Ovis aries: one gene and its partners. The protein of the gene in region 4 purifies or fractionates together with the protein of the main gene of each other region. This does not show direct contact. Links are inferred from orthologs where the notes say so. Each region holds a gene or a part of one and is shown on either strand. Other genes may lie near its edges. The genes, in order: DACT1, PELI2, CSNK1D, DVL2, VANGL2, NEDD4L and VANGL1.

Region 1 (3,500 bases), on a different chromosome or scaffold from region 4:
TCACTGTCACCACCATTAGAAACGCAATATTCACTTCTAACCAGCAAAAAGAACATTCTTTACCTTCCATTAAAGGCACTAGTGTCCATACATGACGAAGATGAGACAAAAATTCACCTCGGTTTTCTCTTAACCAAAGGAAAGCACTCCGGGAAATTATTACACACGAAAAAGGAAGACACCACCGACTGGTGGGGAGCTAGAAAGCCCCACTCTACACGGAGGATGTGCCTCAGACGGTCGTCATCAGTTTCAAAGAGCCAGACCGAAAGCGGAGGATCTTCTTCTTGAGGTTGTGTGAGGCCTTAATCTTGACGAAGGTTTTGGTGGGGTTGTGGCGAAGGTCGGGGGCCGGGACCGGCTGCAGGGGGAGCGTCTGCACGAACTGGGACCAAATCAAGCCCCCGCTCTCCTCCGAGTCGCTGGTGCTCGTGCTGTCGCCCACGAAGTCGCCCTCGCTCACGCTGGACTCGCTGTCGCCGAAGCAGTTGGTGGTGTAGTTGCTGCGCTCGTCCTCGCTGGTGTCCAGCACGGTGGAGTGGAACAGGGACTCGCACTCGGCCGAGTACTCGGAGTCGCTGGCCGCGTACGCGTAGGGGCTGGCGTAAGGCCCGGCCGCGAACAGCCCCGCGGGCTCCCGCCGGCCCCGCCGCGCGCGCCGCAGCGCCTCCTCGTACGACACCTCGGCGGCCGACCTCCACCGCCGCGGGTCGGTGCGCTTGTGCTTGGGCTTGGCCACCACCGCCTCCCGGCCGTGGCCGTGGCCGTGCGCCCGGCTCCCTGCGCGGTGGCCCGCCCCCAGCGGCCGGCTGGGGAGCCCCGCGTCCGGCTGGCCGCCCCCGCCCCGCCGCGCCTTGGCCGGGGCTCGCCGCAGTTTCTTATTTGTATCCGTGTCGTCGGGGAACCGACACTTCTTGCTGGCCGCCCGGGCCTTCTCCCTCACGGCGGGCAGAGCACTTTCCGGCCCGTGGACAGCCGGCGCCCGGTGCTTCACAGCGGAGCCCCTCGGGGCGGCTGCGGGGCGCGCACCCCGGGGCGGCCTGACCCCCGGAGGCGGCGCCAGGACGGCCGGCGCCTTCCCCAGGGGCCCTTCCTCCAGGCTCTGAGAAGAGGAGCCCTCGCTTCTGAAATCCAGGGCCGGCCGCTCTTCCGCCGGGAAAGTTGGGGGCAGCAGGGCTGAGGCGGCGGGAGGGGGCGCCAGAGTGCCTGCCTGCGGGCTGTGTTTCTGTGGCACCTTTTTCAGTGGCTGGACCACTTTGTTCTCTTGCAGCGGTGCGAGGACCCTCCCAGGGCTCTCTTTCGGAGAGGCAGCTGGGATCTGCCCGCTCTCCTTAGAGGACTCCCCTGTCCCAGCGGGGGGACACCTCGCATGTTCCTGGGAGACAGGCTTGGCGGTTTTGGGCAGATGCTTACCTTGAAGTTCGGTAGCAGTGCCTGGAGAACAGCCTTCAGGCGCGGGCAACCTCTTGCTTTCCAGAGGTTCTGGCTTTGATTCTTTTGACCACTGTTTTGGTGGGGAGAAGGCCCCATTGTCCAAAGAAGGGATGCCTCCGGAGGGCAAAGGCACCTGTTTCGAATTCTTAAGGTTCCCACTGTTGCCCTGTGAGACACCCCCAGTCACTCTGACACAAACACTCCCATTCCTCAGAAGCCCCTTCGTGGGGTCAGCGTTCACACTGGTCCTCGGTTTGTTGGTCCTTACTGGGTGGGTTTTTTTCTGGACTAGGCTCAGAATGTAACCATCCATCTTCTTGCTGGATGAAGGATGGGGAGCAGACCACAAACTGCTTGGAGATGGTAAGTTAGTGTCTGTCTTGACGGTGTCCAGCTCAGATCCCGCACAAACGTCGCTGGCATGGTTACCAAGCCGCTCCTCTTCCCTCAGGGGGTTGCCAGTCAGGCAAAGGAGGAACATTGGGCTCTGCACAGCCACGGCATGAAGTGGACTCGGGTAGCGATACACATCATTCCCATTTTTAGACACCAGATCGCACTGGTACTTGGGATTCACATCTGCAATGACAGCAAGGAAATTAGATTGTGGTGTGGAGAGGGAACAGTCAACTGACCTTGAGGCCTGGTCTTCACAATGGCCTTCTTTATATTCTAGCTATCCTATGAGATCTGAAAAACATTTAAAGGTACACTCTGAAGAAATGAACTGGTCAGCACCAGCTTGATCAGGCCAGTTTCTATGAAGACAAATTCAGGGGTAGTGAGAGAATAACAAAGAATCAACAAATACAAGACAAGCTACTCTACTATTTCACATACAGTTCATACTACTAGACGAGGAAAAAAAAATCAACAAAGGACTTTTTAACAAGATATAACTGAATGAAAAATATTCAGGCATTAAAAATGCTTTCAAACTATTGAATAATATATGGGAAACACTTTAAAGTGGAGTGAAAATCATAATTTTATAATTTTACTAAGACTGGATATAGTCAAAGAAAAAAGTCTGAAATGAAGCATGCAAAGATGCTAATAGTAGCATCTCAAAGTGGTAGGAAAAGTAATGGTACTTTCTTCTTTTTCTATTTTCTAACTTTTCAATAAAAGTATGCTGGAGAAGGAAATGGCAACCCACTCCAGTACTCTTGCCTGGAAAATTCCATGGTCTGAGGAGCCTGGTAGGCTACAGTCCATGGGGTCACAAGGAGTCAGACATGACTGAGCAACTTCACTTTCAAATATGTACTGCCTTTATAACTGGAAAAATAAACGTTTTTTGAGCCATTCTTTCTCTGGGCCACTTTCCCTTCTGTGTTCTGTTCCTGGTTTCCCTTTAAGTACTTGAGATAAACTATACTTTCATGGGCTTTCTCCTCATTTTGAATATTTTTTTAGACCTAATTCTTAATGACATGTGTTTGAATATAACTGTCAATTAAAAGGTCAGGGAAACTAATTTCAATCAAGATTAAATTTAAATAATAATCACCTTATGTTTTTAATAGTGATACTAAAAAATAAAGCACAATATTTTATAAAGGAATTTTTGATGAGGCTTTAAGATTGAGGAGTAGTACTAATGAATAAAATTTCCACATCTCAAAAACATAGATGCCAAAATACAATGAAATCAAGCTTCCTTGCTTAATTAGATTATTCTGATCTCTTATCCTGGTATATATTATAAATATCAAATCCTCTGAGTGAATTTTAGTTACAGAAGATCAAAGTTTTTGTCCCTATTTAATTTGCTTTCCATTATAATTATCTTTATTCACTCATATACTGAAAACCTACTATGTGCTAAATTCTATGTTAATTGTTTAAAGGAAAGCCCTGTGAATTTCAATGATTATTAGCAGTCTCGGTGGCAGGTCAGTCTAGACCCAGAAATGATACTCAATTTGTAAACAAAATTTTATTATAAAATAAATGTGTCATGTCCCCAATTCCACTTCCACTCCCAATAAACAGTTTGTTGTAAGAAGGGGAAATCTCTCTAGCTAATATCTGTGCTCATTCTTCCTCACTACCCCAAGGCC
Region 2 (4,082 bases), on a different chromosome or scaffold from region 4:
CCTGCAGATCATGTCACTGTAGCAATAACCTATCAGAGAATGTTAGACAAAGGCTACTGAACAGCACAATGAAAGGTTATCGCAATTGTGATGAAATTTTTTTTCCCTAGTCCTTTACTTAGGGTGATAGCCAACCAGCCAGTGTTTATACATAGGGTTTGCAATATGTATTTAAATATTTAACAATCTTGAGAGGCAGTGACTGACAATAACATGCAGTGCCCAGTATGAGTGCTTAATAAGTGGTAAAACAAAATACTGCATGATGAGAAACAGCAGTCAGTAAATCTATTATACTCTAAAATATTTCAAAGCCTAGTAACTATTTAGAAACGCATAAAAAAGCAAACATAATGTGTTGGCTAAATTAGGATAATAAAGGAAACTTTATATTCACTAAAAAGTTTACTCAGATAATTTTCTTTTAAATTGCTTAGGGGATTGAGAGAAGGTATGGGAAAGGGGAGAGCGTATGGATTAAAATCACACACACAACTTTTTTTTGAACCACGTGGAAGTCTGCTGACGACAGACCGGGATGTTACATCCTGCACAATGGAGGGGTGCTCCAAGCGCCTTCAAAACTCCCTCTAATTCAGTGCCAACTGGCAAAGCCCTCCAAATTTCTAGACTTCTTCAAGCTTTAAAGGACTGGGTTTCGGAAGAGGAGGCTCCTGGTGCGCGTGTGGAACACCTCCGAAAGTGTGCCGCGACACGGTGACACCGGGAAAGCTAATGCTCCCATATCCGGAGAGCAGGTTCTTTATTTACAGCTAGTTAACCCGAGGAAACTAAGTTAGGCTTGGGAACCTAAACCGCCGTGCTTCCGGGGACCCTGCGCAGCCTTCCGCCGCTGGAGAACTCGGCGACCAGGGCTGAGGTGCCCGCGCCGTTAAGTTTGGGGAAGGAAGCGAGAGAGGAAAAAAAAATAGAGCTGCTCCTTTAAGAACTTCCTTTCCCTTTTACTCTATGTTTACATAACACGGGGGCGAGCCGCCGCTGGGCCCGAGGGGGGCGGGGAGTGGACCCGGGCCGCCCCACGCGCCGGGGGAGGGGGCGCCGGGTGGGCGGAGGGCTGCGGGCGTCTCGCGGAGGGCGGGGCGGCTCCCACCTGCCCGCGCGCGGGCGGGGCGCCTCTGCGGCCGGCCCCCGCCCCTCCCCCGCCCGCTGCCCCCGCCCCTCCCGGGCTCGCTCGCTCCCTCCTTTCCTCCCTCCCGCGGGGCTTCGGCGGCGGCGGCGGCTGCGGCGCTTCGCGCGGTGGGTCTCCCTGCTGCCCAGTCCCATTTGTTGCCGAGTCCAGCTCGGGGCAGCCGCGGCGCGCGGAGCTCTTAGAGAGCCCGGCAGGGCAGCCACGCAGCCACGACGGAGCAGCCGCGGGACTGGCCGCCCCGCGCCCCCTTCGCCGCCGTGCCCTTCCCCGGCGCACTCACTCCCTTCTCGGGATGGGATTGTAGCGGCGGCGCGGACTCGGCGGGGATCGCGGCGGAGGCGGCGGCGGCGGCGGCGGCCGAGCAGGGCTCCATGTTTTCCCCCAGCCAGGAGGAGCACTGCGCCCCCAATAAGGAGCCCGTGAAATACGGGGAGCTGGTGGTACTGGGGTGAGTCCGGGGATCCCCGACCAGGGGAGCTTGGGGGCGGGCAGCAAGCGCTCCGGGTTGGGTGGCCGCCGCGCACCCACATCCCGGAGCAGGGCCATCGGGGTGGTTTGGGGGTTCTCTGGCCATCGGTAGGGCGCTTGGGCCGGTAGAGCGTCTCGGAGGGCTGGGACCGCGGGAGTGGGGGTGGGATGCCCCGATCCGCGCGCGCGGGTCGCTGCGGGCACAGGGATGCGCTATCCGCGCCGAGGACGGTGGCGAGGGAAGTGGCGGAGCGCGGTCAGCCCGGGGCGAAGGCAGCGGCGGGGACTGGGGCGACCTCGGAGCCCCGCGGGGCGTAGCGTTCGGGGGCTAAGTCCTTGGCATTACCGCGGGGGCAGAGGCTCGACTTCCCCGCGTGCCCCTGGCCGGGTGTCGGGGATAGGGACCAGGGTTGAAGCACAGCCGTCGTGGGCACCTCGCGGTGTCCGAGGACTACCCCTCCACCTTGGCGAAACTGAGAGGCCCCCAGGGTCCCTCTGCTCCCTCTTATTGTGAGCCCCGGGCCCGGAACTCCAGGCGCGGCACCGGCGGCTCTGCGCTGCGGGCAGTGGGATCCGAGCGAGGGGCGTCCGCGGGCAGCGCCTTGCATATTGTTATGGTGACCGCCGCAGCAGCCGCAGCCCCAGGGCAGTGAACTGTCTGCGACCCGGGCGGCCGGGCCGGCCCTCGGCTCTCTCCGCCGGGAGTGTCGTGGAGCCGGCAGGAAAGCCGCTGCACCCGCCCGGGCTCCGGGGCGCGCGGGGCTGCATCCTCTCTGTCCCTCGGTCCTGGGATTTGGCCTCGCAGATGTCCTCCCAGCGGCGGGGAGCTCGCCATCCTCGCTTGCCTCTGCTCCCTCTCGGCTTGTGAAAACCACATTCTGAAGATAGTAATTATCTACAATCTTTAAACGGCAGCAATTAGAGACTTCATCTACTTCCTGAGTTTCCTTGTGACATTTCTATTGTTTACCCTTAATAAGCCTGGAGAGAGGCTTCGCTGGGATTAAAGCAGGATAAAGTGGGCAGTGAAAGGGGAGCGGAATGGGGTGGGGAAGTGCGGTAAATTCGGGAAAAGGAGCAACTTGGGTTTAGCCTTGAAGGAGAAAAGAGAAAGGATTATTTTTCCCTTTGGATCTGTCACTCTCGGAAACCCGCGCTTTTGTCCTCCTCTCTTGAAAGACTTGTGTTCTGAACATTAGGGGTGCTGAAAGGTAGGCTTAGTACACGTGTGAAGAGTCATGGGTATGGAAGAACTCAGGGCACTCTGAAAAATGTGTTTTGATAACTGAATACCTTGAAGTAAGTGCCGGCTTAAAGATAATTTTAAAGCGAGGAATTTTTAAGAGAAGCTTCCAGACACAGCCCAGCTCAAAGTTGTCCAGTTTGGCGTACTTTGTAGCTACAGTGTTAGGTGGAGTATCATTGGAAAGCTCATTTACCTATTTGGAAGCTGTTTCAGATAAGCATTTTTCTCACCTGCATCTAATTGAACGTAAAAGACAAACATCAAGATTCAGTGGAAGGAGAGAGGACTGGCAGGCAAAAAGCTAGAGTTTAGCTTGTATTATGTAACCTCAGCCCAGCCTAATTTTGTGCAGTTTGGTTTTGTTTGTGTGGCTGGCTTCAAAGTATGTTTAACATTGTGAACCTGACACGAAAGATTAACTTAGGCCAGGACTTTATTTCATTATTTCCTTTTGAGGAAATAGTCGTTGAGATGTTTCATGAAAGCAGGGTGTGAGTGGGTCTGGAGAGGGTTTGTGTTCATAGCTGGAAGTGCAGGACATTCCAAAGCCCCGAAAAGGATTTTTACCCTGAATTGTCCTCCAATCAGGCTTATACTAAAGCAGGCTATGTAAATACTTTGCCAGTTGCATGTGCTCTGTTATTTACAGATGTTTTCCCAGGAGACACTTAGTATGATGGAATTAAGTGTTAGTTGCTCAGTCGTGCCGGACTCTTTGCAACCCCATGGACTGCAGCCCACCAGGCTCCTGTGTCCATGAGATTTTCCAGGCAAGGATACTGGAGTGGGTTGCCATTTCCTTCTCCAGGCGATCTTCCCAACCTAGGGATCAAACCTGGGTCTCCTGCACTGCAGGCAGATTCTTTAGAAACTGAGCTATAAGGGAAGTCCATGATGGAATTAGCACTTATATTAATATTTTAGGCCACTCAGCAGTTTGTGGGCACCTACTATGTGCCAGCACTGTTTAGGCATGGAAGATCCAGAAGTGCACAGGGAGCTATTTCATTGTAGTGTGGAGTGGCAGATATAAACAGAAGGAAACATGTAAACAAGTGAATAATAAATGGCAGTTTTGGGCACTGCCAAATTTTCAACAGAAATGGGTTAGCTTAGGAGACGTTTGCAATAGGCAGGTCTTGCCTTCTGTAGCTGGGAAGGCAGGGAAGGTTTCTCTGAGGAGGTGAAAGGTGAGTTGAGACCAGGCTCTGAGAAGAT
Region 3 (3,500 bases), about 23 Mb from region 4:
GCCTTTTGCTGACAGGCAAGCCCCTTCCATGCTGAGTGGTCAGTGAGCTGGGGGCACACTTACAAATTTGAGCATGTTCCAGTCGAACACGTAGTCATAGGAGAAACCCTGGCGATGGAACAAGTTCCTGAAGAGCTGTCTCAGGTATGAGTAGTCAGGCTTATCGTCAAAACGCAAGGAACGGCAGAAATTTAGGTACGTGGCGAATTCAGCTGTAAACACCAGAAGATTCAGAGGTAACCAGCAGTATTCCTGCCTGAGAGCCAGAATGGTGTCTGTCCACAGAACCTCTGACCACTCACGGCCACAGAGAGAGGCTGCGAATGCTGGAGCCTGAAACATCAGGCATGCTTTGGGGAAAGAGGATGAGAAAACTGAGCACCACAGAGCATAACAGCTTCATCGGAGACACTTATCCCAGGAGAAGTCTCACAAAAACAAAAGGAAAACTCCCTGAGTTATGGCTCAGGAAGGCAGAGGAGCACCAGGGACAGAGGCTGTGGCCACTCGGAGGGGAGGCCACCTGCCCAGTCTTCAGCTCCCTAACTATGCAGGGCGCTGAGGGGGCTTTGGACAGCCAGCCTCTGGGGGGCTTCCCTAGTCCTTCTTCCAGACCTCACAGGCCCCTGCCCTCCCACAGAACTACAACTGGCTGACTGTCCACCAGACACTCACAAGGGTAGCCTTTGCACAACACCTCGATGGGAGTGGACATCTTCTTTTCACTGATCCTCTCATACTTCTGCCTCTTGGTAGCAGCCTTCAGGCCCTGCCAGGGCAGTGAGCCCAGGTTGAAGTACATGAGCACGTAGCCCAGAGACTCCAGGTCATCCCTTCGAGATTGTTCTGGATAGAGAGGAGAGCAGGTCAGGGTGGTGTGCCTGAGCATGCACAGCAACACCCCACAGATGCTGCCTGGGGATAAACTCAGAGCCTCAGAGAAGGACACGTGGAGTCTTTGCTTCTGCAGAAGCAACCCTGCTGTGCCGTTAGGAGATGCACTGCCACCCATTAGGAAGCCCCAGCACATGCTGTCCCTCACGCCTCACAAGGTCTGCAGGCCCAGATGCCAGCCTTTGCTACGAAGGTTTGGTGCCAGCCTCCATACCCAATGTGCCACAACCAACCCTCAGGGGCCCCAAGAGGCTGCAGGACAGCCAGGGCGGGAGGGCTCACCGATGCCAAGGTGTGTGTTGATGGAGGCGTACCGCGCCGTCCCAGTGAGGTTCTTGTTCTCACGGTAGGGGATGTGCTGGTGGGTGCGGGCGTCCCGGTACTTCTTAGCCAGCCCGAAGTCAATGATATAGACCAGGTTGCCCTTCTTACCCAGCCCCATGAGGAAGTTGTCCGGCTTCACATCTCGGTGAATGAAGTTCTTCGAGTGTATGTATTCAATACGACTAATCTGCAGGTGGAGAAGCAGGGGTGACAGGTTGAACCCCAGGCTGCAGCCTGGCAGAAGGAACCAAGGGGAACCCTGGCCCACTTGCAAACATGCCCTGGCCTCCATGGGTCACTATCTCTTGCACAGTTAACAAGCTTCTGTTTTCTCCGTATGCACGCATGGCACAAAAAGGAAGCAAACAACCCTGAAGGCCTCATCAGACTGATCAATCAATCCAGCCCTGTGCTGAGCACGTGGGCTGCCCTTCAGTGGAGAAAAATGAAGTCTTACCATTTGGTCAGCAAGGAGTAGGACGGTTTTGAGACTGAACTTCCTAGAGCAAAAGTTGAAGAGGTCTTCCAGGCTGGGTCCCAACAGTTCCATCACCATGACGTTGTAGTCCCCCTCAGCCCCGCACCACCGGATGGTGGGGATGCCCACTGCAAGAAAGTCTGCGTCAGTCCGCCTCCCGTGCATCTGCACTGAGGATGCCCGTGCCTGTGATGCTGATGGGGGGCGGCTGGGCAGGAGCAGTGAGCAGTGACGTGGGGAGAGGCTGGAAGGCCAATTTCACAGTGGGGGTGGAGTGAGGGGCTCAGGAGGAAGAGCCTCACTGGCTCCCACAACCGGGTCCCAGTCTCCCTACGACTGACATCCTGCACCAGTATGGTAAAGCTGTCACAGCTAATGACCCAATGCCGATACACTGTCATTAACTGAAGTGTATACTACTCAGGCTTCCTCAGGTTTAACCTCATGCCCTCCGGCCGCTCTAGGACCTGTCCCAACCTCACATGACGAGTAGTCGTCATGTCTCCTTCAGCTGCTCTTGGCCAGGAGGGTCTCTCAGACTTTCCTGGTCTGAACGACCCCAATGGTTTGGAGGAGGGCTGGGCAGTGATGCACGGGCTGTCCCTCTGCTGGCCTGCCTGTTTTTCTCGTTGTTAGTCTGGGCTTGTGGGTTTGGGGAGGAAGACCACAGAGGGGAAGTGCCCTTCTCATCACGTCCCGCCAGGGCTGTGCTGTCGACATGACTCCTCACCATGGCTGTACCCCTGGTCACCTGGCTGAGGTGCGTCTGTCATATGTCTCCACTGGGGAGTTCCTCTTTCCTCCCCTGCCCATGCCATCCTCCCTGCGGAGATGTCATCACACGTGGCCCTCACTTATGAGGGCTTTTGGGCTCCCTTCCCAGAGGGCAGAGCATTTATATGTACGACTTGGAATGCTTCCACACAGATGTGTCTCTTCTCATCTACTTACTTGCTATTTTTTCCCATCAGTATGAGCCCACGAGTGTCTGTGTTACATTCTGGTCTGTACTCCAACACTGGATCACTTACTCTGTTGCTCCAAGCATCCCAGCCTTGCCTGCTTCTCAGCGAGCAGCTCCTGGGGCCCTTTAATACCCCACCACTGCAGGCTGTTTTGAGCACTGCATTCTTTTCTGGCACTGTAAGATGCTAAATACTTTTGATTTTGATATCAACAGGGCAACTTTTCTCTTTTACAAATAAATATTTTAAAAATACATTTTACACATGACATGAGAACAAACTTAACAAAGTCCATAGGTTATAAGGCATAATGTGACAAAAGCTTGTGGCCTATCATGAACACAGAAGCCCAACAGGCCCCGAGCACAAGAACCATAAAGAGCACAACACTGACATACGTGACAAACTGCTCACTAGTGACAAACAGAACACCTTGAAGGCAGCCAGAGAAAAAAGCAGAGTGGAGGAACATCTTCCAAGAACTGAGAAAAGAACTGACAATCTGCCGAAAAAAACCTCAGCAGAGACAAAAGGAAGATATTTTCAGATATACAAAGGGTGATGAATCAATCACCAGCACTGTGACATGTTAACAGGATGTCCTTCAGGCAGGAGGCAAACGATGCCACATGGAAGTGTGGGGCTACAGAAGGAATGAAGAGCACTGGAACTAACAACAGAAGTACCTTAAAAATTTTTTAAATTTAAAAAGTATGACTGTTTATGGGACTTCCTTGGTGGCACAGTGGTTAAGAACCTGCCTGCCGATGCAGGGGACACAGGTTCTATCCCTGCTCCAGGAAGGTTCCACCTGCCAAGCAGCAACTAATCCCACGCGC
Region 4 (2,689 bases):
GACCAAGGCCATGGCCGCTCCAGAATCGGGACTGGAAGTTCGGGACCGCATGTGGCTCAAGATCACCATCCCTAACGCCTTCCTGGGTGTGGCTGGGCTCTGGGCAAGTGGTGGGGGAGGAAGAGGAGGGGGCCAAAACTGGGAAAGGGGGTGAAAGCTAGAGAGAAGAACTTGAGGCCTTTCTCTGTCTTCCGCAATCCAGGCTCGGATGTGGTGGACTGGCTGTACCATCACGTGGAGGGCTTTCCTGAGCGGCGTGAGGCCCGGAAGTACGCCAGTGGGCTCCTCAAGGCGGGCCTCATCCGGCACACTGTGAACAAGATCACCTTCTCTGAGCAGTGCTATTACGTGTTTGGAGACCTCAGTGGTGGCTGTGAGAGCTGTGAGTGCCCCTGTCCTGGCCCAGCTAGAGTGGCCCTGGTGGCCTTGTCCTGCGTCTCCAGCTCGAGGCCTAGCCCAGAAACCCAACCGGGGCTGCTGTGCACGCTGAGCAGCAAGCGTCCTTCACTGGCCCCTGAACTGGCTGATGATGGGCGTGGGGTTGACATACACCTCTGTTGTGCTGGATGAGCTGTGCGCAGGTTCAGGGTTGTGTCTGCTGGGGAGGGGAGACGTGGGACTAAGGGTGGCTCTGGCCACGTTCCTGCCCTGACGGCTGTGGCGGGTGGGACATTCCTTATCAGAGGCCCTCCCATTAACCCCTGCCACAGATGGTTGTGGGGAAGCCGTTCCCGGTTCCTCATTCGATGTCTTGGCATCCTGGCTTCTCAGCGCAATGATCCTTGATCTCTTCTCTGCCTTCCAGACCTAGTCAACCTGTCTCTTAATGACAACGATGGCTCCAGTGGCGCTTCAGACCAGGATACTTTGGCTCCTCTGCCTGGAGCCACCCCCTGGCCCCTACTGCCCACTTTCTCATACCAGTACCCAGCCCCACACCCATACAGTCCTCAGCCCCCACCCTACCATGAGCTCTCGTCCTACACCTACGGTGGAGGCAGTGCCAGCAGCCAGCACAGTGAGGGTAAGTTGCCGACAAATCCCCACATAGCTGGGTCTGGATGTGGGGGCCAAGGCAAAGCCAAGGAGCAGAGGCTGGAGCAGGGACTGGGGAGGCCGAAGAACCTGGTCTGTGGCTCAGTTGCTCCTATCCCCTTTCCCCACAGGGAGCCGGAGCAGTGGGTCGACACGAAGTGATGGGGGGGCGGGGCGCACGGGGAGGCCTGAGGATCGGGCCCCTGAGTCCAAGTCCGGCAGTGGCAGTGAGTCTGAGCCTTCCAGCCGGGGTGGCAGCCTTCGGCGGGGTGGGGAAGCTGGTGGGACTGGTGACGGGGGCCCTCCCCCATCCAGGGGCTCATCAGGGGGTGCTCCTAATCTCCGAGCCCACCCAGGGCTGCATCCCTATGGCCCACCTCCTGGTATGGCCCTCCCTTATAACCCCATGATGGTGGTCATGATGCCGCCACCCCCACCCCCTGTCCCTCCAGCAGTGCAGCCTCCAGGGGCCCCTCCAGTCCGAGACCTGGGCTCTGTGCCCCCAGAGTTGACCGCCAGCCGCCAAAGCTTCCACATGGCCATGGGCAATCCCAGTGAGTTCTTTGTGGATGTCATGTAGAGCCCATGGTGGGGCCACGTTGGATCGGCTGTCAGTGTTTGGTGCTCCTGTCCTGTGATTGGATGTCTTGTCAATCATGTGCTCATCACTCCTCTGGTGCTTGGACTCAGCCTGTCATGTGGGCTGCTGTCTGCTGTGAGGTTGTTGCCACTGTGACTTTCCAGCAGTGCCTGGTTCCTCCCCTTTTCTTTGGGGTTCAACAAGGGACCTTGGTTATTTTTAGCTTTATTGTTTTTTATAAGCCTTTTGGGGGGTTAAAATAGATTTTCTTACATTTTGGGGACTATTTTTTTAGTAGATAATTTTTCTTTTATATGAAGAATCCTTGTCTCCTGGGCCCCCTCCTTCTAACCCCTAAATGTGACCTCCTTATCCATTCGCCCAGTCAGCTCTGTCCTGAGCAGGGTGGGAGGGTAGTCATTGGTACCCTGGGACGTGGAAGGGGGTTGGTTCCCCTAGACAGCCGTCAAAGGAAGCTGGGGTAGTTGGTATTGGGGGCCGTGTAGCTGCTTTTGTTACTCTATTTATTTTAGTCACCTGTATAAACACTAAATAAAGCAATAGGGGCAAACTCCCTGCGCCTCTGGCTCCTTTCTTTGGGAGGGAGGCAGGCAGCAAGGGAAAGGACAGAGATACAGTTGCAGAGTGTGACTTGTTGGAAACTTTATTCGTGAGGCAGTAAGTGCTCCCTCTGAGAGCAGGCACAGTCATGGGCTGGGGCCCCGTTCAAGGTAGAACCAGGATGGGCAGGAAAGGGGTCTGGGCTTTGGCTTGAGAAAAGGCACATTTTGGGCCAGGCTGTAATTGAGAGTACTCAGAAACCAAGGGGATTGCTGGTGACCACGCCGCCCCGCTCCACCAGGGCCTTGGAGATGCTTTTGAAGTTACGGAAGAGCTCCTGCTGCTGGGGGTCAGACTGCAGAGCAGCCATGTTCTCTCGGATCCGGGCCGCAGCCTGGGGAGGGAGGGGGAAGGAGGGGGTTCAGACCTGTCCCTTGATCCCCTCCAGCCCCCTGTACTTAGTAACTCTGGATCTCACCTCGATACACCAGCTGTCACAGAGCATTTTCTCAT
Region 5 (3,979 bases), on a different chromosome or scaffold from region 4:
GTCTTGAAGAAGCAGAAGGAGCCAAGGGGGCATACCAGAGAGGTCAGCCCCCAAAAGAATTAGAGGGAGAGAGGAAGGAGCAAGACAGTGGGGGCGAAGGGGCCAACTTGACCACTAGTTCCAATCTGAAGTACTTTCAAAGGCGGCCTTTCCTAAGGTCTGACCACAAGTCCTCCTCCTTGGAAGAGCTCCTCACCCCCCAAACACACCAGTATAATATATCATGCATTCAGTCAGAGGACAGACACAAACAAGGTACCCCAGAGCACACCATCCTAGATTCAAGTGCCTCACTCACCCCTGGGAACCTTACCCAACGGATAGGTGTCAGGTTTGGGGCAACCACGCATTTTTTTAATCCAGTCTTTTCCTTCTCTGCCCCACTTCTAGTCCCAACATTTTCCAACTCTTACTGCTCTTACCACTTAAGAAAGGTGGGGAGCCCTGGGGGCTAAAATGCAAGCATTCCAATTGCACATGGCCCTCAAGGACTCCCATTAGGGAATTACCCAGAGACCCTGACAGGCCTGTGCCTTCACAGTCGCAGCTTCTAAAGCTGGATGCCTCGACCAGTTCCTCTGGCAGCAAGAGGAAAATGACTGAGAGTGAGATGTGCAAACAAGATGCATGCCCGCCCTTCCCCTTCATCCCAAAAGAGAAATAATAACAGAGAGAAAACAGCCCTCAATGGGCGCTTGCCTCGACATAGGGACAGCCACCCTCCTGCCAAGTTGAGCCCCCTATCCATCACCCTCAGACCTGGCCCCAGATCGCATCTCCACCCCAATCATGCTTCTCACCAGGAAAAAGGGGGAAACTGTGAGATAAATCTGTACAAACTCCTGAGAAAACATCCCCCTCTGCTCTCCCCAGAGCTCCCATGCCACCTTCTGAACCCCGTGCAACAGAGAACCAAAGATGTCCGGACCAGGTCTCATCCCTCCGGACATGCTTCTTCCCCCGCCTCTATCCCATACCAGAATCCCCAGACTCCTCAGGAACTGTAGGATCCCAGAGGCAGGGCAGTGAGTGGGCTCTGAAGCAGCAAACTCCAAGGCGGCTTTACAAGACAAGTGGGGCCTGAGGGGGCTGAACATAGGCTGAGAAGCCAAGAATGTGGCCTCTCCAAGTACAAGAACCCAATCTATAAGGTGGAATAAGAGGATATCCCTCTGATTCTTTTCCCTGACTTCTCCAATCCCCCAGACTCCCCTTGGACTACAACCCAAATCCTTATTCCATATTCCCCACCACGCACACAACCTTTATCTAGAAAAGCCCATTTCCCAAAACAGGTACCTCAGGGGTCTCAAATACTTAAGGCACTACCCTCAAAACCGGGGCAGGGCATCCAAGAAGCCTCAGAACCCCTCTTGGCAGGTACAGCCCTCCCTTTGGGCTCCCTGCCAAGAAAATCCGCCTGCAGAGGCAAGTGGCAGTACCCCCAACACACACTCAGAAATACACACACCGCCTAAGGCAGGCACACGGTGGCACTTATCTATCAACACAGGTTGTACACAAGAGAACACAGATTCACTCACATCTCTTTCTAGTACACAGGTGTACACACACCTACCCAGGTACACCCTATTCTGCTCTTACACACCCACTTTCCTCAGAACCTTTCCCATAAACCCCTCCCCAGTTCACACACAGAGACACACACCCCTTCCCCAGAATATACCCATAAATACATATCCAAACACACCACACATGGATGATCAGCTGCTCCTTGCGTGCACACACACTCGGGCACAGAAAAACACCTTCATCTCCAAATCTAGGGGCCCACCTGCAGGGACACGCAGCATGTCAAGGCGCACACATACACAAAAACAAAAGAATCACGCACACTGATGCTTCACCAAGCCTCTAAAACTCACCAATGCAGAGCCCACAGCCCCTTAGACGAGTAGAGACAAGTGGAGAGAAGGATGCCGGCGCCTGTCCTCTGGGCCCCTGGATACAGTGCCGGGGTCTCCAGCCTCCAGTCCCATCCTCCAGCCGCACACACGCCTCCTCCACTCCCCTCGGGCGGCTGCCGGGACTCCACCTCACGCCCTGAACGCATACCTGCCCGGGGTCCTCCCCACACTCCTGAGGTGTGTATGCACCCCTAAACATCCTCGCCTTCCAGTACCTCCAGACTGCGATCCTTTCACTGCCTCTGCCTCCACCTCCAACACACACACTCCCGAGTCTCCAGCTCCAACCGGCTCCCCTGGGAACGCTGAGGCCCCCGCCCCGGCCCCGGGCCCAGGAAAGTCCCCGGCTCTCCAGGCCCGGGCTCCGCCCCCTCCCCAAGCGCCCCTTCCTCTCCCCAAAGTTGGGGGGCACTCCGCTGTGCAGTGGGGGGATGGACCGGAAGGGGGCTACCCCACGCCCCCTTTCCCCATAAGCCACCCCGCTCGCTCCGGGGCTGGGCACCCCTGGCCCCTTGCATGATTGTCCCTCTTTCTGTTTCTTTTTTTTTTTTTTTTTTCAAACTTTGCTCGCGCCCCCGCGGCCCGGCACTCACCCGCCGCTGCGAACTGCCGGGTGGGCTCGGCCGGCGCCCGGCTCGGCCCGGCGCCTTTGTATCCGCAGCGTTCGGGTCGCTCCGAACTCCGCGCTCGTAGATGGGCAGCGCGGACGCTGGGGGGTGTAGAGGGGGGCTCCTGAGTCCGGTCGCCCCCTTTCCGTCCCAGACCGCTGTCTCTTCCCCCTCAGGGCCCCGGGGGCAGGGGGCCAGAGGGGAGTGGGGGCGCTCAAGCTCCCATGGCGGGACCAAGGATCAAGGAATCAGGGATCAGGAATCAGATCGGGAGCCCGCGGAGGAGGGGGAGGGGGCCGAGGGGGAGGGGACGGGAGCCGAGGGGGTGCAGGGGGCGGGGGAGCGCGCGCTCCCGGGTGCCGCCTCCCGGCTGTTCCCGCAGCCGCCGGCCCGCCCGCCGCCGCGTCCATTGTCTGCGGCCCCGCTCTTCCCCGAGTCGCCGCCTCCCCCCCAGCCCTTCGCATCCAGATGCCCGGCGGCCCCCCAGGATCCTGGGAATCGGCAGCGGGGCTGTGACCCCGGCCCGGGACGGTGGTCTGGGAGATGCCTCGATTCCTGGGCTGGGCCCAGCCCGCAGCCCCTCCTGGGGCTGTTTCCCTCTACCCGCCTGCGGGAGACCGAGCCCCCAGACCCTCGGGGATGGCGATGTTCAATTCTTAGGGCCACAGACCCGGCTACACGAAATCCAGTGGAATCTGGGACGTGGAAAGATTGAGTTTTACCCCCCGAGGGCTGCGAGAAGAGAAAGTCATCCTTGATTTTAATTACTGGCGAGAAACGCTCCCTTCTTGCCATTCATACGGGAGTTTTTCTGACAGTCACCACCATATCCCCCCCGCTTCCCAAAATAATTTAATTACTTGGTGTTCTAGCTGCGAGCGGCGACCGCCCAGTCAGTCTGGGATGCTCTCTCATTAACACTTTTTTCCTCCCCTCTGGTTTGAGCGTTGGGATTAATTACAAAGGGAACCCTGCCCTGGGGGAGTGGGGGAGGGGGGGACGACGAGGGCGCCCGGGAGTTTGGATGGCGGGGGAGAGAGGCCCCTCTCCCAGGAAACCTCCAAGTGTAAAAATGCGTTGGCCTGTCGGGTCCCTAACCCCAAACAGGCAAGGCTCTCGTCCCCAGGGGTTTCACATATTCTGGAATTCATAGCACTACACAAGGCTTGTAGGGTATCACCAGTATCCGACATAATCAGGCATTCCTGCCTTAGCGTACACCAAGAAACCAGTTAGGTTCATGAAGTTGGGTCATAAAAGCTTTGAACCCAAAGAGATTGACCCCCATTATGAAAGTCTGGGTTTGTGAGAAGTCTATGTAGCCCTTGGAGTGAGTGAAAGCAAAAATATTATTACAATATCATTAGTATTGTGTGCAATTCTCCACTTACTTAGAATAGTAATACTTCAAAAGCACCTTTGCACACTTCTCCTCCAGCAGGG
Region 6 (3,500 bases), on a different chromosome or scaffold from region 4:
AACCAGTCCATCCTAAAGGAAATCAGTCCTGGGTTTTCTTTGGAAGGAATGATACTAAAGCTGAAACTCCAGTACTTTGGCCACCTCATGCAAAGAGTTGACTCATTGGAAAAGACCCTGATGCTTGGAGGGATTTGGGGCAGGAGGAGAAGGGGACGACAGAGGATGAGATGGCTGGATGACATCACCGACTCGATGGACATGAGTTTGAGTGAACTCTGGGAGTTGATGATGGACAGGGAGGCCTGGCGTGCTGTGATTCATGGGGTCGCAAAGAGTCAGACATGACTGAGTGAACTGAACTGATAATATCTCTAAGTGATTTCTTGAACATCCGTATTGTTTTCAGGGATGAAAGCCTCATTCAGTACTGAATAATCTTAATCATTTCTAGAACTTCCCATATGGTGTGTAGACATTATGTAAATTTCAATGATTATATGAAGAGTGACAATTTTAAGGTTCATGATTCATGAAATTTTCTGAATGTTGGCTTCATGTACATAAAATTTCAACTGTATTGTTCATATTGTCTATATTTATACATTTATCTTCCAGGCTGTTCCTTACTCCAGAGAATTTAAGCAGAAATATGACTACTTTAGAAAGAAATTAAAGAAACCTGTGAGTACATGTCTTCCAAAAATGTTGCCTTAGTCATTTGTAAGTTACCAAAATTACTTCAGTGAGAACTTGTTTCTTACTTTTATATCTGTACCAAAAATGCTACTTTCCTTTTTTCACTGCACTTTAATCCACCTGGATCTCTGATGTGAATTTTCTTTTTAACAGAAATGGTAAGTGAATATTAACTTAGTATTATTGGGTTGGCCAAAAAGTTCCTTTGGGTGTTTCTGTATCATCTTTCAGAAAAATATTTTGGCCAACTCAAAACATATTAAGTCACCTGAAGGTAATTTCTTATGTAATACATAAAAAGATAGAAATGATTTTATGAGATATATAATAATTCAGGACCAAGTGAAAAAATTTGGAGAAGCCTGTGCAGTTGCTTACGGTTACCCTAATTAATAAAACCTTGGTCCTAATTATAAAAACGTTCAAGTCTGTCCCTTTAAATTCCAATATGTACAACATAAATATAATTTATAATATTCTGGCATATTAAGACCAAATGTCATTTTCAGAGTAAAAATTCTCACTGGGAAACCCATTAAGATTCTGGCAAAACCAAGATATCTTGTAAGGCTTTTTGCAGGCAGTGTTTTAAATTACAGTATTATATTTTCTACCGACACATCTGCCCAGATCCTTTAACGCTGCGTCTTCTGTCTCACTTTGGTCTCGCCTGTCTGGTGAGGGTTTTCCCAGTCTTCTCCTCAGTTTGTGCCTTCACCCTTTCTGGGGTGTTTTCGCACAGGTCACTGTTGACTGGCTTCCGCTCACTGGGAAAAGGCGTGTGTCTCCCACAGCTCAGATCTCCCCGTCTGCCTGTGCTTCCTGCCCGCCTCCCCCAGCCCACTCCACTCTCTCAGTTATGCCTTCTCCCCACCTCTGTTGTGGGTGAGACACTGGGGATGCAGAGATGCCTGGAAGCCAGCCTCCGCCTCGGGGAGCTCCCACTAAGGGTTTTGTTCTCTTGTCCATCACCCCGAATCAAGGAGCTCCTGGGTAACTCCATTTCAGGATGACTGAGATTTGAACCTGTGAACTCCCGTGTTTCTTTGTGAGTCGCCTGCGTTTCTTCTGAGTATAAGTGATGACTCTGAGGGTCCCACCCGTCTCACTCTGTAGCACTTATACTCTACGGTGCCTTCTGCCTGGAAACTGACTCTGCAAATCCATCGTCATAACAGAGCCGACCCTGGGCCTGTTTCGCCAGGAAGCAGTTATTCACAACTTCAGTCAAGTGCCTTTTAATTTTCACATTTATCGTTAAACAGCTGTGGCCTTTGGCCTGATCATCAGAGTCTGCCCACCCCCGCCCTGGCAATAGGATTAGCTTCTGAGTGTCATGGACCCACGCCTGCAGCCGGAGCCCCGCCAGGGCTCAGAGGTGTCCCAGCCTGGCTGGGTGGGGACTGTCTATGGGGTTAATCGTCTGGACTGAAGTCCCTTTCTTTGACTGAAACAATATAGAGAGCTGACCGTGTTTCACTTGTCAGCGGGTGGATAAGGGCCCCTCGGTTGCTCATAAAAGCAGGCCAGGATGATTTGTCTCTACTCAGCGTAGTTTCTTCCGCAGCACGTGTTGCTGACTCAGTGGATGACAGCTGCTCGTGGGTGCTGTGTGTCTCCTCCTGACGTAGCAAGGCTTTCTGTCTGTGAAGAAAAATCTAGAAAGGGCAGAGCCCCAGCTGGAGCCATTCCACACTGATTGTTTATTCGAAGGCTGCCATCATTCTGCTCTTTGTTGTTTTCTGTTAGGAAGTCAGGTGTATATTTACTCTCTGACCGTGTGTCGTTTTTTTTTGTTTTTTGTTTTTTCTTTAGGCGGATATTCCAAATAGGTTTGAAATGAAACTTCACAGAAATAACATATTTGAAGAATCCTATAGGAGAATCATGTCTGTGAAAAGACCAGATGTCCTGAAAGCTAGGCTGTGGATTGAGTTTGAATCAGAGAAAGGTCTGGACTACGGGGGCGTGGCCAGAGAGTGGTTCTTCCTACTGTCCAAGGAGATGTTCAACCCTTACTACGGCCTCTTCGAGTACTCGGCGACGTAAGTATCTGGAGTGCATTCAGAATGTGTCCCCCACTGAGACAGGTTTATTCCTCATGAGCAAATGAGAGAGGTGAGATGATGAGAGAGTGGGCTTCCCTGGTAGCTCAGCTGGTAAAGGATCCGCCTGCAGTGCAGGAGAACCTGGTTTGATTCCTGGGTCAGGAAAATCCCCTGGAGATGGAATAGGCTACCCACTCCAGTATTTTGGGGTTTCCCTGGTGGCTCAGACAGTAAAGAATCTGCCTGCAATGCGGGAGACCTGGGTTCAGTCCCTGGGTTGGGAAGATCCCTTGCAGGAGGGCATGGCAACCCACTCCAGTATTCTTGCCTGGAGAATCCTCATGAACAGAGGAGCGTGGTGGGCTACCGTTCATGGGGTTGTGAAGAGTCAGATATAACTGAGCAACAAAGCACAATGAGAGTAAGCCGCTCGCTCGTTTGAGGTGAATTAACACTGCTGACCTCAGCCCCTCCCATCCTCCTCCCTGGACATCTAGAACAGAATCTGACTCCACACGGTGAAATAAAGTACACTGTGAACACCTAAAAATAATTCTTCCCTTGTCTGTTGGGTTCATGTAACTGAAATTGAAAATGTGTTGGGTACTTATCGTTAAGGAAAAGCACTTTGCATTTGTTATGTTAATTCAGGGGAATTTGTCACTGTCAGAATTCAGAAGGTCATTGTCTCATGAACAGGAATAGTTTCTGACATTATACTACTTAAAGGGAAATTGAGGCTCCGTCCTTTAGGATCCAGAGGACTGTCCTGAGCCTGAGCGGCGAGGCCCTGCCTTCCCCTTGCATTAGGTT
Region 7 (3,500 bases), on a different chromosome or scaffold from region 4:
ACTTCGTACATTATACTTCTCTTTAACGTTTGGATTTTTATATAAAGATTATTAGTTTTAATTTGGAAAAGTATATATACTTTTTTTTTAAGTGAGAAAGAAAGCAGCCAGTAAACTTAAAAAGCTTGGGGGAAAAGGGAAATAACCACTTCCATTCCACGTGGTATGAGCCATCCCTCTGCATAGGCAGACATGCTGTATTCACTTGCAACCACCGTGTTCACACATTTTTGCAGTCTGCTTTTTGTAACTTAATATTCTAACAGATTCTTCCACATTTTAAGATATACCATAACGTGTAAGCCACTGTTCTGTTGTTAAGTTATTTCCAGTTTGGAGCTAATAAAGATTATCTTGCAAAATAATCCACATATACATTAGTGTGTATCGCTGACTGTGCTAAGTCCTTTTTCTAGGAGGGGGATTAGTGAACCAAAGAATATGGAAAATGTTATGGCGTCTTACTGAATATCTCCATATTGGTTTCCTAGGGTTTGATAAGGGTGACAGTGCAGCCAGCAGTTTATACGTACAGGGCAACGTATGAATACAGGCCTTTATACCAATAATATCACTACCAGTGTTACATGCAAACCATATGCCAAGCTCATTTACTCTCTACCACAACTCACATGTCGTGTTGCCATATTTAATATGATTCTCATGCAATGATCCGATCAGGTAGATACTATTATTATCTCCATTTTATAAAAGAGGGAACAAGTGTAGAGTAACTTAGGCAAAGTCACAAACCGATTAGGTGGTGGAGTCAGGATCTGAATCCACTTCCGTCTGAAGAGGTCACTGGCTGAACACTTTATTCTGCCTCCTTGGCCACAGCCGTCTATTAGACACGAGGCTGTTTTTGCATCATCCCCTAAAGCGTGCTCATGTCATAATGGCCCAGAAGATCACTTAGTAAAACTAACCTCCCAACAGCCAAAACGCCAAACAAGTCAGAGCATGGTTTCCACCCCTGATGATAATGGCTATTTATTTGGTCCTTATATTATGACAGATGCTGTTTTAAGCACTACACAGGAATGAACTCTTTTAGTTCTCACAACAACCCCATGAGGTAGACATTAGTATTATCTCCAACTTACAGACTAGGAAACTGAGGCACAGAGCCATTAAGCTCTTGGCCCAAGGTTCCCCACTAGTTGATGGAGGTGCCAGGTTAGAACAAATCAGCTCAGGCCCAGGATATACAGAGTACCCTGAATTACTACCTGGGCTGTCTTTAAGTGAAAGTCTTTCCTCTGCTTGAATCCTGAAGCCTTTAATTCAAAGGCACATTAAAAAAACAACTGTACCCGGGAAGGAGGGTGGGATGTATGGAGACATGAAAACATACATTACCAGATGTAAAATAGACAGCCAATGGGAATTTGCTCTATGACTCAGGGAACTCAAACAGGGACTCTGTAACTACCTAGAGGGGTGGGATGGGGAGGGAGGTTTAATAGGGAGGGGACATATGTATACCTACGACTGATTCATGCTGATGTTTGGCAGAAACCAACACAATTCTGTAAAGCAATTATCCTTCAACTAAAAAATTAATAAATTTTTTTAAAAGGGGGAAAAAAAAAACAACTGCACCAAAATAACATAAAATAAGCAAGAAACATTAATCCTTATCAGTGGGAGCTTTAGAGAAACCTTTATCGTTCCTGACAACACCCTAAAATGGGACTTGCAAGCTCGGCGCCAAGACGCACCTTCGGGGTCATGCTGTGGGTGATGCAGAAGGCCAGGTGCTGCAGAATGCTCTCCATGCTGTGGTAGTTCTGCTGCCGAGTGGTGCGCAGGTACTTCTGCAGAGCCCGGGCCATGGACGGGAAGATGGCTTGGGCAGCCTCCCTGGGGTCCATCACCTCCCCGGGGGCTTTCTGCTGCTCCTCAGCCTGGAGACGCTGGATGTGGATGAAGGCCTCCTCCACTGCGACCACCAGCCTGGGGGTGATGAAACATGGTACTCAGGACAGCAGTGCAGGGCTTGAGAACAGAGTCACACAGGACGTGGGAGGAGGACTCCTAGTTGGCCGCCAGCTGGCCCAAGGCTCCCATCCTCAGGTGTCACCCCAGACAATAGGGAGGTGAGGGAAGGGCAAAGGAAGACAAAGGCAAAAGTAATACACGGAATGGGGGCTCCCGGGTGAGGAGGAAGAAGGATGGGACTGCGGAGATGACTCCTAATCTCAATTCTGCCACTTATTTGCTTGGGAGACTCACTACAACGAAGGGTGACATGCAAAGAGTTTTAAGGCTCTTCAAACTGTGGCTACAAAAGACTCTGCATGCACTGAGGGGTGGCTCATGGTACAGAGGCAGCTTTATGGAGAACCAGAGCTGCATCCTCTCCATCCGGCCGCCCACACCAGCAGCCCCAGGGAACAAAGAAGGAAGGCAGCATGTATGATGAAAACCATCTTTGTCCACTTCAGCTAAAGTGATCAGCTCTGGAAAACCAGCAAGGGCCTGGGGATAGAGGGCGGGCCAGTCAAAGTGTGGGCTGAAGGCCAGCAGCTTCATCATCAGTTGGGAATTTTTAAGAAACGTAAATTCTTGGGTGGGCCCCACTCTAGACCTACTGGAAAGTAAGTAACCTTTGCGGGTGGGGCCGGAACCTGAGACCTGTGTTTTAACAAGTCCTCCTGGTGATGCTTTTGCATGCTAGGGGGTTGTGTTTATAAACTGAAATTTCATTCTGGTTAAAAAAAAAAATGTCTTAAGAGAACAGACTTTTGATTGCGAAAAGGGAGGGAAGGAGGGAGGTAGATGAGGGACAGATGGGGAGTTTGAGATTAGATGCAAACTATTATATAGGAGGACTTCCCTGTTGGTTCAGAAGATAAAGAATCCGCCTCAAGGCAGGAGACCCAGTTTGATCCCTTGGTTTGGGAAGATGCCCTGGAAGAGGGGATGGCAGCCCGCTCCAGTATTCTGGCCTGGAGAATCCCATGGACAGAGGAGCCTGGCGGGCAAAAGTCCATAGGGTCGCAGAGTCAGACACGACTGGAGCGTCTTAACACGCATGCACATTATATGTAGGATGTATAAACAACAAGGTCCCATTGACTGGCACAGGAAGCTATATTCAAAATCTCGTGATAAACCATAACAGGAAAAACACGAAAAAGAATGTATATGTATGTATAACAATCACTTTGCTATACAGTAGAAATTAACATGACATTGCAAATCAACTACATTTCAGTAAAATAAATTTTAAAAAAAGAGTCGGTGTACATTCAAAAAGAAAGCCTGGTCGGGGTGTTGGTGTGGGGGCTGGGCAGCGTACCTTGCTCTCCGCTTCTTCACCCGCCGCTCGTGTTCTGCCTCCTCATAATACAACTCGTTGTGACTTGAGTCCCTGCGCCGAGCAGCTGCGGCGATCATGGCCCGGGACTGACCAGTGGCGTTGTTACTGGGGCCTTTGGGGGAAAGGACAGTGGAGGAAGGACGGTTTTAATGCCTTGGGGTGAGAAACAGCA

What was found.
Region 1: the proteins of DVL2 (region 4) and DACT1 purify together in Homo sapiens (affinity purification with western blotting; 3 studies listed by BioGRID and IntAct, with this or other methods). This does not show direct contact. The link is inferred for Ovis aries from reciprocal best matches to the Homo sapiens genes DVL2 and DACT1.
Region 2: the proteins of DVL2 (region 4) and PELI2 purify together in Homo sapiens (affinity purification with western blotting; 3 studies listed by BioGRID, with this or other methods). This does not show direct contact. The link is inferred for Ovis aries from reciprocal best matches to the Homo sapiens genes DVL2 and PELI2.
Region 3: the proteins of DVL2 (region 4) and CSNK1D purify together in Homo sapiens (affinity purification with mass spectrometry; 3 studies listed by BioGRID and IntAct, with this or other methods). This does not show direct contact. The link is inferred for Ovis aries from reciprocal best matches to the Homo sapiens genes DVL2 and CSNK1D.
Region 5: the proteins of DVL2 (region 4) and VANGL2 purify together in Homo sapiens (affinity purification with mass spectrometry; 4 studies listed by BioGRID and IntAct, with this or other methods). This does not show direct contact. The link is inferred for Ovis aries from reciprocal best matches to the Homo sapiens genes DVL2 and VANGL2.
Region 6: the proteins of DVL2 (region 4) and NEDD4L purify together in Homo sapiens (affinity purification with mass spectrometry; 4 studies listed by BioGRID and IntAct, with this or other methods). This does not show direct contact. The link is inferred for Ovis aries from reciprocal best matches to the Homo sapiens genes DVL2 and NEDD4L.
Region 7: the proteins of DVL2 (region 4) and VANGL1 purify together in Homo sapiens (affinity purification with mass spectrometry; 4 studies listed by BioGRID and IntAct, with this or other methods). This does not show direct contact. The link is inferred for Ovis aries from reciprocal best matches to the Homo sapiens genes DVL2 and VANGL1.

What each region holds. Positions count from the first base shown.
Region 1 is NC_056060.1:68,967,577-68,971,076, reverse strand, and holds part of DACT1 (dapper homolog 1), read right to left. Parts: intron 2,014-3,500; coding exon 233-2,013; 3' UTR 1-232.
Region 2 is NC_056060.1:66,604,630-66,608,711, forward strand, and holds the start of PELI2 (E3 ubiquitin-protein ligase pellino homolog 2), read left to right. Parts: upstream 1-1,282; 5' UTR 1,283-1,521; coding exon 1,522-1,598; intron 1,599-4,082. UniProt on the Homo sapiens protein: E3 ubiquitin ligase catalyzing the covalent attachment of ubiquitin moieties onto substrate proteins. Involved in the TLR and IL-1 signaling pathways via interaction with the complex containing IRAK kinases and TRAF6.
Region 3 is NC_056064.1:50,122,909-50,126,408, reverse strand, and holds part of CSNK1D (casein kinase I), read right to left. Parts: intron 1,825-3,500; coding exon 1,676-1,824; intron 1,406-1,675; coding exon 1,177-1,405; intron 847-1,176; coding exon 676-846; intron 213-675; coding exon 64-212; intron 1-63. UniProt on the Homo sapiens protein: Essential serine/threonine-protein kinase that regulates diverse cellular growth and survival processes including Wnt signaling, DNA repair and circadian rhythms. It can phosphorylate a large number of proteins.
Region 4 is NC_056064.1:26,830,177-26,832,865, reverse strand, and holds the end of DVL2 (segment polarity protein dishevelled homolog DVL-2), read left to right. Parts: coding exon 1-86; intron 87-202; coding exon 203-382; intron 383-805; coding exon 806-1,024; intron 1,025-1,166; coding exon 1,167-1,615; 3' UTR 1,616-2,189; downstream 2,190-2,689. Other genes in the region: ACADVL (very long-chain specific acyl-CoA dehydrogenase, mitochondrial), read right to left, coding at 2,430-2,570, 2,655-2,689.
Region 5 is NC_056054.1:111,416,964-111,420,942, reverse strand, and holds the start of VANGL2 (vang-like protein 2), read right to left. Parts: upstream 2,801-3,979; 5' UTR 2,522-2,800; intron 2,236-2,521; exon of another isoform or gene 1,887-2,235; intron 1-1,886. UniProt on the Homo sapiens protein: Involved in the control of early morphogenesis and patterning of both axial midline structures and the development of neural plate. Plays a role in the regulation of planar cell polarity, particularly in the orientation of stereociliary bundles in the cochlea.
Region 6 is NC_056076.1:57,840,640-57,844,139, forward strand, and holds part of NEDD4L (E3 ubiquitin-protein ligase NEDD4-like), read left to right. Parts: intron 1-558; coding exon 559-624; intron 625-2,454; coding exon 2,455-2,684; intron 2,685-3,500. UniProt on the Homo sapiens protein: E3 ubiquitin-protein ligase that mediates the polyubiquitination of lysine and cysteine residues on target proteins and is thereby implicated in the regulation of various signaling pathways including autophagy, innate immunity or DNA repair.
Region 7 is NC_056054.1:93,017,166-93,020,665, reverse strand, and holds part of VANGL1 (vang-like protein 1), read right to left. Parts: intron 3,441-3,500; coding exon 3,308-3,440; intron 1,960-3,307; coding exon 1,725-1,959; intron 1-1,724.